Linked DNA regions of Ovis aries. The protein of the gene in region 2 interacts with the protein of the main gene of each other region in a biochemical or structural test. Links are inferred from orthologs where the notes say so. Each region holds a gene or a part of one and is shown on either strand. Other genes may lie near its edges.

Region 1 (3,722 bases), on a different chromosome or scaffold from region 2:
AAAAGATAGCTATCTCTTTCCCTCTGTCAGCTCATTGGAATTTAGTTACCCATTTCTTAGGGTAAGTGTTCTTTTTTTTTTTTTTTTCCTCTGGATTCATGATTTATTTCTTATATAAGTATACTTTAACATTTAGAAAAATGGTTAAATTTATTACTAGGAAGGATTTAAAAGTTAGATTTCATGCACTTGGTTTCATTTCTGCCTTTCAACATAGAACATTCTGCTTCAAAGAAAATTTTAGCAGGGGTAAGTGTTCTAAAGTTTTGTTGAAAAATAATGTAGGCTAAAACTGACCACAGGGCCTCGGATGTTTAACCACAGTGGATGGACACGGAGCCCTGTGGGCAGAGAGAGACTTGAGCAGCCACGGGCTTCCTGGGCTCTGCCGCTCAGGGCTCCAGGGGCTGCCTCCTTTGATGGTCTCACTGCCCTCCAAGGGGGGCTATTGCCTCCTTTGATGGATGAGTAAATGAAGCAACTTCCCAGATTATGGCAGAGAACCTGGACTCAGAACACAGTTCTGTCTGACTCCAAACGGCAAGCTCCTCCAGCGGTGCCAACGCCACTGCCCGACACTTAGGCGTGGAGAAGCTCTCCTGTTTCCACCAGGCATGGCCCACGAGACTCAGGCAGCTGTGCCCGGCCCCGGCTGGCTCCCTGGGCCCTGTGCTGCCCGCCGTGGGCCCCTGGGGGAAGACTCCAGGTGCAGCGCATACCTCTAGCGTTCTCGGACAGCACGGTGTTGAGGCTGCCCAGAGGGGCGAGCTCCAGCGCGAAGCAGAGCGGGTGGACGCTGATGCCGATGAGGGACACGATGCAGGGGTGCTGCAGGGCGTGCAGCATGCTGGCCTCCTGCCGGAACTCCGAGAAGCTCCTCATGGCGTCGGTGGCCTGTAGGCGCCTCAGCATGGTATCTGTGGGGGGAGCTCGGCTGTCAGCGCCAGCCGGGTTGGGGCCCCGCCAGGCTCGGAGCCGCCCCTCGGGGACTCCTGGGGCTGGCCGGGGCCAGGACTTGTACCTCTGGGGGCTGCAGTACCGTCACCCAGAATCGGGCACCAAATGGGAGCCCTCCTGAGGCATCCGGGCTAGTATCAAGCCCCCTCCTCGGGCACCATGCTTGTCAGGTGCTACACTCGGTGTCCCGGACCCTTTCGCGGAGGGTCGCACACCCCCGCCCTCGTCACCCACTCTGCTGCCCTCTGCCCGGCCTGCTGTTTGCCGCCTAAGGCTCTCAGCTGCATCTTATTCCAAATCTGCAGCCCTGAGGGTCACCCAGAGCCTGGCAAGGAACCAAGCCCCTACTGCTCAGCTGCAAGGATGCTGGGGGCTTGGTCACTGCTGCTCATCTTACTCCTAGAGGCCGGGGCCGTGAAGGCAGGGCGGACTACCACCCTGGTGTCGGCCAGAAGGAAAACCGCAGGGCAGTCACAGGCCTTGACAGGCCGTCTCAGGCCCAAGAAGGAGCGTCTGGGGCAGCGGTGGGCCGTGCTGCAACGTCCTCCCACTGCCCTCTCAGTGCACCCCACGTGGGAGGCGTTTGCCTGAGTCCCCCGAGGGGCCTTTTCCACCCACTGGTCACCCACCAGGCTGTGGCCAGCCCGGAGGTCACTGAGCCCGCTTGTCCTCCTGGGTTCTGATCTGTCCCTCCCCTGTTCAGATTTTAAAGTCAGGAATCACTGGACATGGGAGTTTCAACAGCAGAAAGAGAATCTTGGCAGTTAAAATGGATTGATTGTGCCAGATGGATGTGTGAGCCAGACAAATTTGTTTTTAAGTGTAAAAGTTGTTTTTCACATTGGGCCTTTAAACCATTAATCATGTATTTTTGACTATGGCTGAAGTCTCTGCCCCAGTTTAATGAACAGCCTGCCTTTCTCTTGACTCCCGATGTTACCTCTGTCGTGTGCCAGCCTCTCGCATGCATGCAGGCTCTGTCTGTTCCCGACAGGCCCAACCGTGCCCAGGAGTACCCCGCCCTAGCATGTGGAGCCTGGTAAGTCAGGACGTTTGCTGGGCAAGCCTCTGCTCTTTGTCTTCCATTGTGGAGTTTTCCTGACTGTTCTTGGGTGTTTGTCATTTCACATGCATTTTCTTTTTCTTTCCATTTTAATTTATTTATTTGGCCCTGCTGCACGGCACACAGGATCTCAGTTCCCCAGCTGGGGATCGAACCCCTGCCCCCTACAGTGGAAACACAAAGTCTTAACCACTGGACCACCAGCAAAGTTCCCACATGTATTTTAGAATTAGTCAGATTTCTCTCTCTTTCTCTCTCTGTCTCTCTCTCACACACACTGCTGGAGTTTAGATGAGAACTAAATTGAATGACATCTATTAATTATTTCTCAATACCTTGTGGCTTAATGGCTGCCACGGAAGGCATTGTCTAATGGGTCATTGTTGCCACATTTGATGTTGAGCTCACATCTAGCAAACTATCAAACTCTTACTGGCTCTGACGCTTAATAGCCTCTTAGATTTCCATTCTCTTCCCACGTCTACAGTTCTGTCTCTTCCTTTCTAATCTGGTTCTTCATACTGTTCCACGATTCTGATTTTTCTACCACGAGCGTAAATTCCTTCTGTGATCATGATGATAACCGTGCTAGGCCAGGGGCCACGAGAAATGCAACACTCAGCGGCTGGAAGGTAGAAGGCCTCCACATGCTCGCCTTTGGTGGGCATTAGGTGGTGGCAGGTGGCTCTGGAGCACCTCTGAGCTGTACATGATGAGTGGACAAGGGCGGGAGGGGCGGGGGTGAGGGAGAAGCTACCCACAACGGCTTCCCGATCCATTCATCTGGATTGGGATTGAACCTTAGCCACTATCCTTCCCTTAGTAACTGCATGGGGAGGTGGGTCCCCAGGGCGAGCGGTCCACTTGAGGTCTGACTGTGTGCCCATCATGTGGGCACTGTGCTGGACATGCAACAGATAGAAACTGTAAGGCTGGCCCATGCTCTTGGGGGCTCATGTCAGACAAGAAAGTCACCTCCGAAAGCAATTTCTAGGCCGTGTTCAGCCTGATGCTCAGTCCTGGCCCACGTCTCACCAGGCAGAAAGCAGGACCACCCCTGGGGCCCACACTGGCATCACCCCCCTCTTCCGCTGCCTGTGTGGCCTTGGGCATCTAAGGTGGTACAGGTTTGGACCAAGGGAAGACATGTCTGAAAAGAAACAACCCAGGGCCCTGTTTACCTGCAGGGGCATTTGCAAAGTTCTTGAATTTCTTGATCTGGAATCGCTTCACAGCCACAGGCTGGCCTTGGTACCTGGCCCGGTAGATGACGGTGCCGCTCCCACCTTGGCCCAGGACAGCGCTCTCATCCTCGCTGTGCTCCAGCTTGCTGTTCTCCAAGAAGAGCCTGCCAGAAACACCGTGTGTGTGCTGGGGGGTCAGAACAGACCTCCCTCCTGCCCCATGTTCCCCCAGAGATGCCCGCCGGGTATCAGAGGCAGGTCCTGGGCTGGGCAGGTGCAAGAATATGCTTGGCTATCAGTCCCCACTGAGCAAAGTCAGGTTCAAAGCCACCTAGTGGGGGGCAGTCAGACAGATCTGGGATAAATGCCAGCTCTGGGTAGGTTACTTAGCCTTAACAAGCCTTGGTCTCCTCTGGAAAGTGGATTCATAACAGCAATGGTCTCAGAGGTATGAATGTTGACTGGTATAGGATGGAGCTTCCAAAGGTGGTGGACACAGAAAAAGAATTCCTGTGGAC
Region 2 (3,500 bases):
AGGAGATTTGCCCCCCACTCCGAAAAACAAAGGATATCAGAGGAAAAAAACCAGGGTTCGGTTTTATAAAACGTCCAACTCGTAGGAGAAAAGCGGGAACCCAGCGGGCCGCGCCACGTGGGTCACCGTGCGGCTTGCTGCGTGTCCCCCAAGCGCGTCTGAAAGGGCGGTGAGTGGCTGGAGGGCCAGTCAGTGCTGTGGCCGGCCTGGTGCCCGGTGCCCGCGTGTGCCGGTGGGGGTGGCATGGCTCCGGCCCTGGGTCTCCTCCCGGGGAGCCGGCCGCCCGGCCCTGTGGTCCCCCCGCGCGGAGCGGGGCCGCGTCGGGAAGGCAGAGTGACTTGGCAGGAGGGTCTGGGGACTGGGGGGCGGACTTGGCGACAGCTCCTCAAGCCTTCACGGACCTCGGCCGGGCGGGGAGCCTGCCCGTCTGCGGGGAGTGTGTGTGTGCGCGTGTGTGTGTGCACGCCCAAGTGTGTCTACCTACCTAGCAACCTATCCGTATACAGTCGTGTTTGCAGAGCCTCGGGGGCTGAGGGGGCGGGCTGGGGACGCGTTCCGCCCCCGCCTTCCGCCCCGGGCTGGGCCCCGCCGGCCCCTCAGCAGAGGCCGATGTACTTGAGGTTGTTCTGGATGATGACGTCGGTCACGGCGTCGAACACGAACTGGATGTTGCTGGTGTCCGTGGCGCAGGTGAAGTGTGAGTAGATCTCCTTTGTCTCCTTGTTGCGGTTCAGGTCCTCGAACTGCCGCTGGATGTAGACGGCGGCCTCCTCGTAGGTGTTCTGGCCGCTGTACTCGGGGAAGCACACGGTCAGCGGGGTGCGGCGGATCTTCTGCGCCAGCAGGTCCTTCTTGTTCAGGAAGAGGATGAGGGACGTGCTGACAAACCAGTTGTTGTTGCAGATGGAGTCGAAGAGGCGCAGGCTCTCGGCCATCCGGCTCTGGGGGGAGGGGCGGGGGCGGTCAGCACAGCCGGGCCCCCCCAGGGGCCGCGGACCCCACGCACCTTCAGGGCTGCCGGCAGGGGAACCCCCCCACCCCCGCCACAGGCCAGCCCCTGCCTCCCACGGAAGACCGTCCATGCCACAGCCCCCTGCAGCGAGCATGTGGTCAGCCCTGCCTGCCGAGGGTGGGCCGGTAGGGAGCCTCCATCCCGCCAGGCGTCAGGCCTCACAGAGTCTCAACGTGCAGGAGGCCTCTGTTCCTAAAAGGTGCCAGGGCGGAGCTGGGCCAGCCCAGCCCCTGGTGGCTGAGTGCTCACCTGGTGCCCCACACACAGGAGCCCTCCGCCGCCCCCGAGGAGGTGAGGACGGCCCCCCGGAGCCCCCGTGACTGCAGTGTGGCCCAGGGGGCCCCTTCCACCCCCCCAAGAGAACCAAGGATATGCGTGCAGCCTGCGGGCTCTGGAGGAGCCCAGGGCCTTCACCTGCTCCCCCCTGCCCCCCACAACTGATCTCCTTGCTCCTAAAGGGACACCTGCGGGTGGCGAGCTGCCCTGTGTTTTAAGATGCACAAGGTGAGTGTCCCAAGGGCAGGGCCAGTCTAGAGCTGAGCTGTTGGGTGAAGGACTGTTCTGAGCATGCGCAATGAACAGGGATGCCCTGCTGACCGCCCTCGACCTTATCATCCCCATTCTGCGGATGAAGAAACCGAGGCCGGGAGGGGCCAGAAATGTTCTCCAAGGCCCCCGGGCTCGCTGACCCTCCGGGGCAGTGTGCAGAGCTGCTGGCCCCAGGGTGGGGGTGCCCGGGGCCGCCCTCATCTCCCAGAGGCCTGGCCCTCTCGGACGTACAGGGTCCGATGGTATCAGGGCTGACAAGGCACCCCTCCCCGCCACCCCCTCACCACGGAGACATAGACTCCAGGCCTTGCGCTCCACCTGGGAGGCTGGTCTCCCAAACCCTTCCTGTGCTTTTGTTAGAAAGAGCCTGGTCTCAGGTCTTGGGGAGGGTGTGTGTTGGGGGGGTGATCGTGTGTGTGTGTTGGGGGTGATCGTGTGTTGGGGGGTGATCGTGTGTGTTGGGGGGTGATTGTGTGTTGGGGGTGATCGTGTGTTGGGGGGTGATCGTGTGTGTTGAGGGGTGATCGTGTGTTGGGGGTGACCGTGTGTGTGTTGGGGGTGATTGTGTGTGTTGGGGGGGTGATCCTTCCCCAGACAGAAGCAGGATGCCAGCCCCCAGCATGTCTGAGATCAGGATGGAGTCGCCCTCCCCGTAGCTGGTGGTCCAGGAACACCGCCTGCCACTGGGTGGCAACGAACGCTAATGGGTTCCCGGAAGCCGCGTGGAAAGGACCAGTGGCGGAGCTGTCTGTCATTTCACGGGAATGATGTCTTAATCAGGGTGCTCCCGACCCCAGATCTCACACGTACAATAAACAACAGATGCGGCCAGGGGCACGTATTCACCAATCACCGAGCACACACTTGCCGAGCACGTCTCTGGTTGCGGGCGGGTGCCGGAGCCCAGAGACCGGAGGCCGAGCGGCCAGGGGGCCCTGCGTGTGGCGGGGCTCCAGGGTGGCTGGGCCAGCGCGGGGTGGGGGCAACAGCTGTTGGGATGTCCAGGCATCTGGGCCCTGCTGGGTCACCGGGGTGGGGGGAGACAGGCGGCTCCTGCGTCCAGCCCGCCTGCCGAGGGGTCACTTGGGGCTCTGCTGGTCCGCCCTGCAGTGGTGGGGGGTGGGAACCCGTTGACAGGAGTGCGGTCTGACCAGCCCTGGGCAGGAGGGAACGGGGGCCCGCCCACCCCCACAGGGAGGGTACCTCCCTGGCCAGCTCGCGGGGTCTCTGGCCTCTGGGGGGGAGGCGGAGTGGACATGGAGGGCCAGGGCGTGTGGGCCACTGGCCACCTGTCTGTGGGGGCCCCCAGCACCTCCTCCCACCCCGACAGCCCCTCCAGGGGCCCCGGAAAGCCCGGCCCGTCAGCATCCCCACACCCTCTGCCACTCAAGCTGGCTCCCCTCACACCTCCCCCGCCTCCCTGGGCAGCCAGCATCCTGCTCTGCCAGCCTCCAGCTGTGTGTCAGGCCCGCTGCTCCCCCGGCAAAGGGGGCTCTGTCGGCCGCCCTCCTCCAGAGGTTGGAGGCAGAACGGGACCCCCATGGGAAGCTGAGAGGCCCCGTGCTGGGCACCAGGGCCCGCAGCAGCCATCATGTGCTGACTTGGAGACACAAGGCCAGATGTCCTGGGGCGGGGGGGGGGGGGCACCTGGTGGCCAGGAGGCGGCCCGGCGCTCGCTCGGCTCCTTGGAGCCCAGCATGAGGTCCTGGCCCAGGAGGGCCCCGGGTTGCCTGCTGCAGGACCAGGCTGGGGTGTTTGTTCTCAGGAGCCGTGAACCCAGCTTTTCAGGCGGGGAGGCTGGGCTGCAGGCGTGAATGAGCTCCATTCACCACAGTGCCAGGCACCGAGGGCGCCGAGGGCGGGGGCTGCCAGCGGGGACGCCTGGCGGCACCTGGCTCAGTGGGCTGAACGGGGAGGGTCCATCCAGGGCTGGATGTCG
Region 3 (4,420 bases), on a different chromosome or scaffold from region 2:
AACTCCATTGTCTTGGTAGGTACCTTTGGGGGCCTTGGAGTTTCTCTCTCTCCTTTCAGTGTGTAATGTCTCACAGCAAGGGCTTTGATGGGCTTCTCAAGGGGTCATACACCTGGACCAGGAGAGCACCTAAAAGTCTGCACTCTCAGAGGGACAGCAATTAAAAGGACGTGAAAAATAATTTTATGTGGAAAATTTTCTGGTCTAAGCTCTGATCACTTTTATTACTGGGAAAGAATGCATACATGTGTATGCATCTATCTGTACTGACAGATGGATGGGTAGATAACTGCTCACCAGGGTGGCTGTAAAGTTTCCTCTCTCTCACTTTTATCACTAAAAAGAGCACCTGGTCCAGGGAGCACCCCCTCTCCCACTCGGTCTCTGTGCTCTGAATGGAAGGAAGCAGAAATCCTGGTGGAGAAAAAATAATCCCAATGAAGTCAAGTTCATAAGTGTGTGTCTGTCTGTGTGCCTGTGTAGGTGGAGAGATGTTAATTTATTTTGTAGTAAATTAGCAGTTTTGTTGGGTTCTTTGGGCAGAATGCACAGATAAATCACTACTGAGGAGGCTGGATTCCAGCCTGGGAAATTATAGCCTGCTTCTAAAGCACAGCCAGAATCTATTGACTTAGTAACGAAGTCAGTGTCAGAAAAAACATGGGTTTGAATCACCACTGAGCTGACTGCACACATGTAACAGTGTTTTTTACAAACATGCTTTCTCATCTCTAAAAAAGGTTTGACCACCTCAGCACTTCTGACCTAACGAAATTGGTTAAGAATCCAAATAAAAAAGAATAGCAAGAAGAACCACAATAGACAACGCATTTATGCAACACAAATGAATTGTTATTTTCAGTCTAACCTGCTTTTGGAAGGATTTTTTTTACACATTTAATTCTGAAATTATTATAGATTCACTGGAAGTTTCACAAAAGAATGTACACACAGTGGTCCCACACACTCTTCACACAGTTCCACCCAATGGAAACTGCATAAATTGTACAACATCAAAGCCAGGAGACACACTGGTATAATTCTAAGAGCTCATTCAGATTTCATAAGTTTGTATGCACCCGTGTGTGTATGTGTGTGTGTGGTGGAGGGGTTGCCATTTTCTTCTCCAGGGGATCTTCCTGACCCAGGAATGGAACCCACATCTTCTGCGCTGGCAGGTGAATTCTTTACCACTAAGTCACCTGGGAAGCCCGACAGGTGAGTATAGTTCTATGCAATTTTAACACATGAGAAGGTTTGTGTAACCACTGAAATCAAGTGTAGCTTCCTATTGAACCACTGAAATCAAGTACCTTCCTATTGAAAAAGCTTCCCAATGACTTAACAAACAAACAAACAACTTCTCCTTGTGCCAGTTGGTTAAAATAAGATTGGGGAGGAACTTCCTTGGTTGTCCAATGGTTAAAACTCCATGCTACCAAGGTTCCATTCCTGGTCTGGGAACTTAGACCCCATATGCTGCATGGTGCAGTCAAAAGATAAAACAAAAAAACTATGGGGAAAGGACAGATCTAGATAATTAGAATCTGCAAATACGTGATTATTATGAGGATATGAGCGAAGGCACAGGCACAGTTTCTAGTGCTGCAGAATCTGGACAGGTCTGCGGTTGTAGAATTTATCAGCATTTACTTCTGAGCTCTGATCATTGGTCACAGGCATTAACACATGTCCATCCCCCTCCATACTAAATAGCCTTTTAAGAGGTGTTTCTATTAATAGTTAAGAGGATCGACAGACTTAAACTGTACTTTCTGCAAAGATACACACAACGCTGAATAGGAAAATGGTTACTCTTCGGGGAAATCACATTGTCTACTGATAGAAATTCATGCTTAAGAAATTCATCTAGGCAACTATGACTTTAGGAAAAACACCCTTAGTTCCTAAATGGTCTTTCATGCCTGTATTAGTTTTACCAATTTTTTTTTCCCTCAAGCAATTTTGGTGGAAAGCAATCTATACTTTTTCATTGGTGGTGTTTTAGTCACTCAGTTGTGTTCAACTCTTGCAACCCCACGGACTATAGCCTGCCAGGCTCCTCTGTCGATGGGATTTTCCAGGCAAGAATACTGGAGTGGGTTGCGGGTTCTTTCTCCAGGGGATCTCCCCAACCCAGGGACTGAACCCGGATATCTTATATCTCCTGCATTGCAGGTGGATCCTTTACTGACTGAGCCACAAGGGAAGCCCATTTTTTTTCATTACTATATGGGATATAACTTTTATGTCAGAATATCTAAGCATTGATAGTAGCCATAGAAATCTATGGCTAGGTTTTCTGCTTTTTAAGACATTACTTCCTGAAACAAACAAAATGTAGTCATTTGCTGTTGTAAAGGGAAGCTGTTTATGTTGGAGAAAACTGGAAGAATCAGGTTATTATCAAAGTCCTAGTTTTTCTCTTGGGTTTAGTTTGGAAGCCTTTTTGATACATCTTCAATAAGGTAAAGTGAGCGCTGACACTAAAGCTTTCCTATGGTTTTGTATTCTTTCTGGATAAACCCTTTCCTTGCCAAGAACGGTCACGGACTGGGGAGATGGTCTTACCTTGACATTGTGCGTGGCTGTGGCACATCCTTCATTTTCCACGGTTTGGTGAACATTCACATTATATGGCTCAGCCCACGGCAGAGGCAGAAATCGTATCCTCCTCGATGGTCTGGAGAAATGTTTCTGGTGGCCCTGTTGGTTGTCTTGGGAAAGCCTGGGCATGTTTTTACAATAAAGCCTCAATCGAATCCTGTAGCTTGATTTTAACGGTACCAGCCCAGGGTCCACTCTATTTCTCTTCCTTTGGCTGGTGCTGGGCCATCGCTTCGTCTGCTGGGGGCCTCCCTGTAAAGTCGCATCCCTCGAAGCAAGAGGATTATCTGTGTTGTGGGTCAGCAGTTTATCCACAGTCCGTGGGCTCTATTCCAGGATGAGAGTCTCGGTATGTTCTGACTGCCCTCTACAGGTTGCAAGTGAAGTGAAAGTGAAGTTGCTCAGTTGTGTCAGACTCTTTGTGACCCCATGGACTGTAGCCTATCAGGCTCCTCAGCTCTACAGGTAGCAATGTACTCCTACTTCAAATTTAATGCTAAATCAAAACTGAAAGAAATGATTCAAGTGATATATTGCTTAGTATATCGTGATAAAGGAAATAAATCATGTGGTAATATTCTGCATTTGTAGTGTGTGATATGTGAAAAATTTGGACTATACTCTCGAGAGGCAGAGGAGCCATTTTATCTCAGTCTCGTAAAAGGTCCTTCTAGCAGCAGTCAGCTTTGTGGCTGGAAATGCTTGCTAAACTCATAACCACACTTCACTTCAAAGATTATTACTTTTTATTTATGTCTTGTAGAATTAATTGAGGACTTCCTTGGTGGCTCAGATGGTAAAGAATCCACCTGCAGTGCAGGAGACCTGGGTTTGATTTCTAGGTTGGGAAGATCCCCTGGAGGTGGTCATGGAAAACCACTCCACTGTTCTTTCTGGAGAATCCCCATGGACAGAGGAACCTAGTGGGCCACTGTCCATGGGGTCACAAAGAGTTGGACACGACTGAGTGACTAAGCACAGCACAGCACAGAATTAATTGAAGTAATTTCCTTGTGCGATAGTCATCTAACCATGAAGTCAAAACTTGGCTTCTACATCATACTTCCTTTTTGTAAAGTGCTTTATAAATATCAGATTATTGGACTTTCCCTGGTGGTCCAGTGGTTAAGTCTCTGCGCTTCCACTGCAGGGGGCCTGGGTTTGATCCTTGGTCAAAGGTATCTAAGGCCCAGGTGGCTTCTGCTGGGTCTGGAGGAGTACAGAGGTAAGGACCCCAGGTATGCATTGCTGGGGACTATGAACTGAAAGAACTTCCTTTCATAACATAGTCCCAGGCCCCTAAAATGGATATATAAAACTAACATAAGTTGGACCACACATCATGTTAAAAAATTAACTTGAAATCAATCATAGACCCAAGTTTAAGAGTTAAGATTATAAAACTTTTAAAAGGAAACTTAGGAGAAAATATTTGTGATCTCAGATGAGGCAAAGCCTTCTTAGACATGATACCAAAAAGCACAAGTGACAAAAAAAAACAAAACAAAACAGGCAAACTGGATTTCATCAAAATGAAAACCTTTTGTTTTTCAAAGGACATCATCAAAAGAGTGAAAAGACACCCACAAAATAGGGTAAAATATGGCAAATCATAAATACATAATAAGGGACTTATATCCAGAATATATAAAGAGCTCTTAAAAAAAAACTAGCAATGGGTGAATTATGTAAACAGATGTTTCTCAGAAGAAGACAGGCAAATGGCCAAAAAGCATATGAAAAGATGCTCAGCATCTTTGACTTCCAAGTCAAAATCACCAAGGAGATACCAGTAGGTAGGCTTTAATCAAAA

Evidence for each region.
Region 1: the proteins of GNAZ (region 2) and LRRK1 form a complex in vitro, tested with the Homo sapiens proteins (2 studies listed by BioGRID and IntAct, with this or other methods). The link is inferred for Ovis aries from reciprocal best matches to the Homo sapiens genes GNAZ and LRRK1.
Region 3: the proteins of GNAZ (region 2) and RGS20 form a complex in vitro, tested with the Homo sapiens proteins (2 studies listed by BioGRID, with this or other methods). The link is inferred for Ovis aries from reciprocal best matches to the Homo sapiens genes GNAZ and RGS20.

Annotation. Positions count from the first base shown.
Region 1 is NC_056071.1:4,887,375-4,891,096, forward strand, and holds part of LRRK1 (leucine-rich repeat serine/threonine-protein kinase 1), read right to left. Parts: intron 3,369-3,722; coding exon 3,202-3,368; intron 918-3,201; coding exon 720-917; intron 1-719.
Region 2 is NC_056070.1:71,869,400-71,872,899, forward strand, and holds part of GNAZ (guanine nucleotide-binding protein G(z) subunit alpha), read right to left. Parts: intron 942-3,500; coding exon 597-941; 3' UTR 1-596. UniProt on the Homo sapiens protein: Guanine nucleotide-binding proteins (G proteins) are involved as modulators or transducers in various transmembrane signaling systems.
Region 3 is NC_056062.1:34,890,742-34,895,161, reverse strand, and holds the start of RGS20 (regulator of G-protein signaling 20), read right to left. Parts: upstream 2,811-4,420; 5' UTR 2,737-2,810; coding exon 2,564-2,736; intron 1-2,563. UniProt on the Homo sapiens protein: Inhibits signal transduction by increasing the GTPase activity of G protein alpha subunits thereby driving them into their inactive GDP-bound form.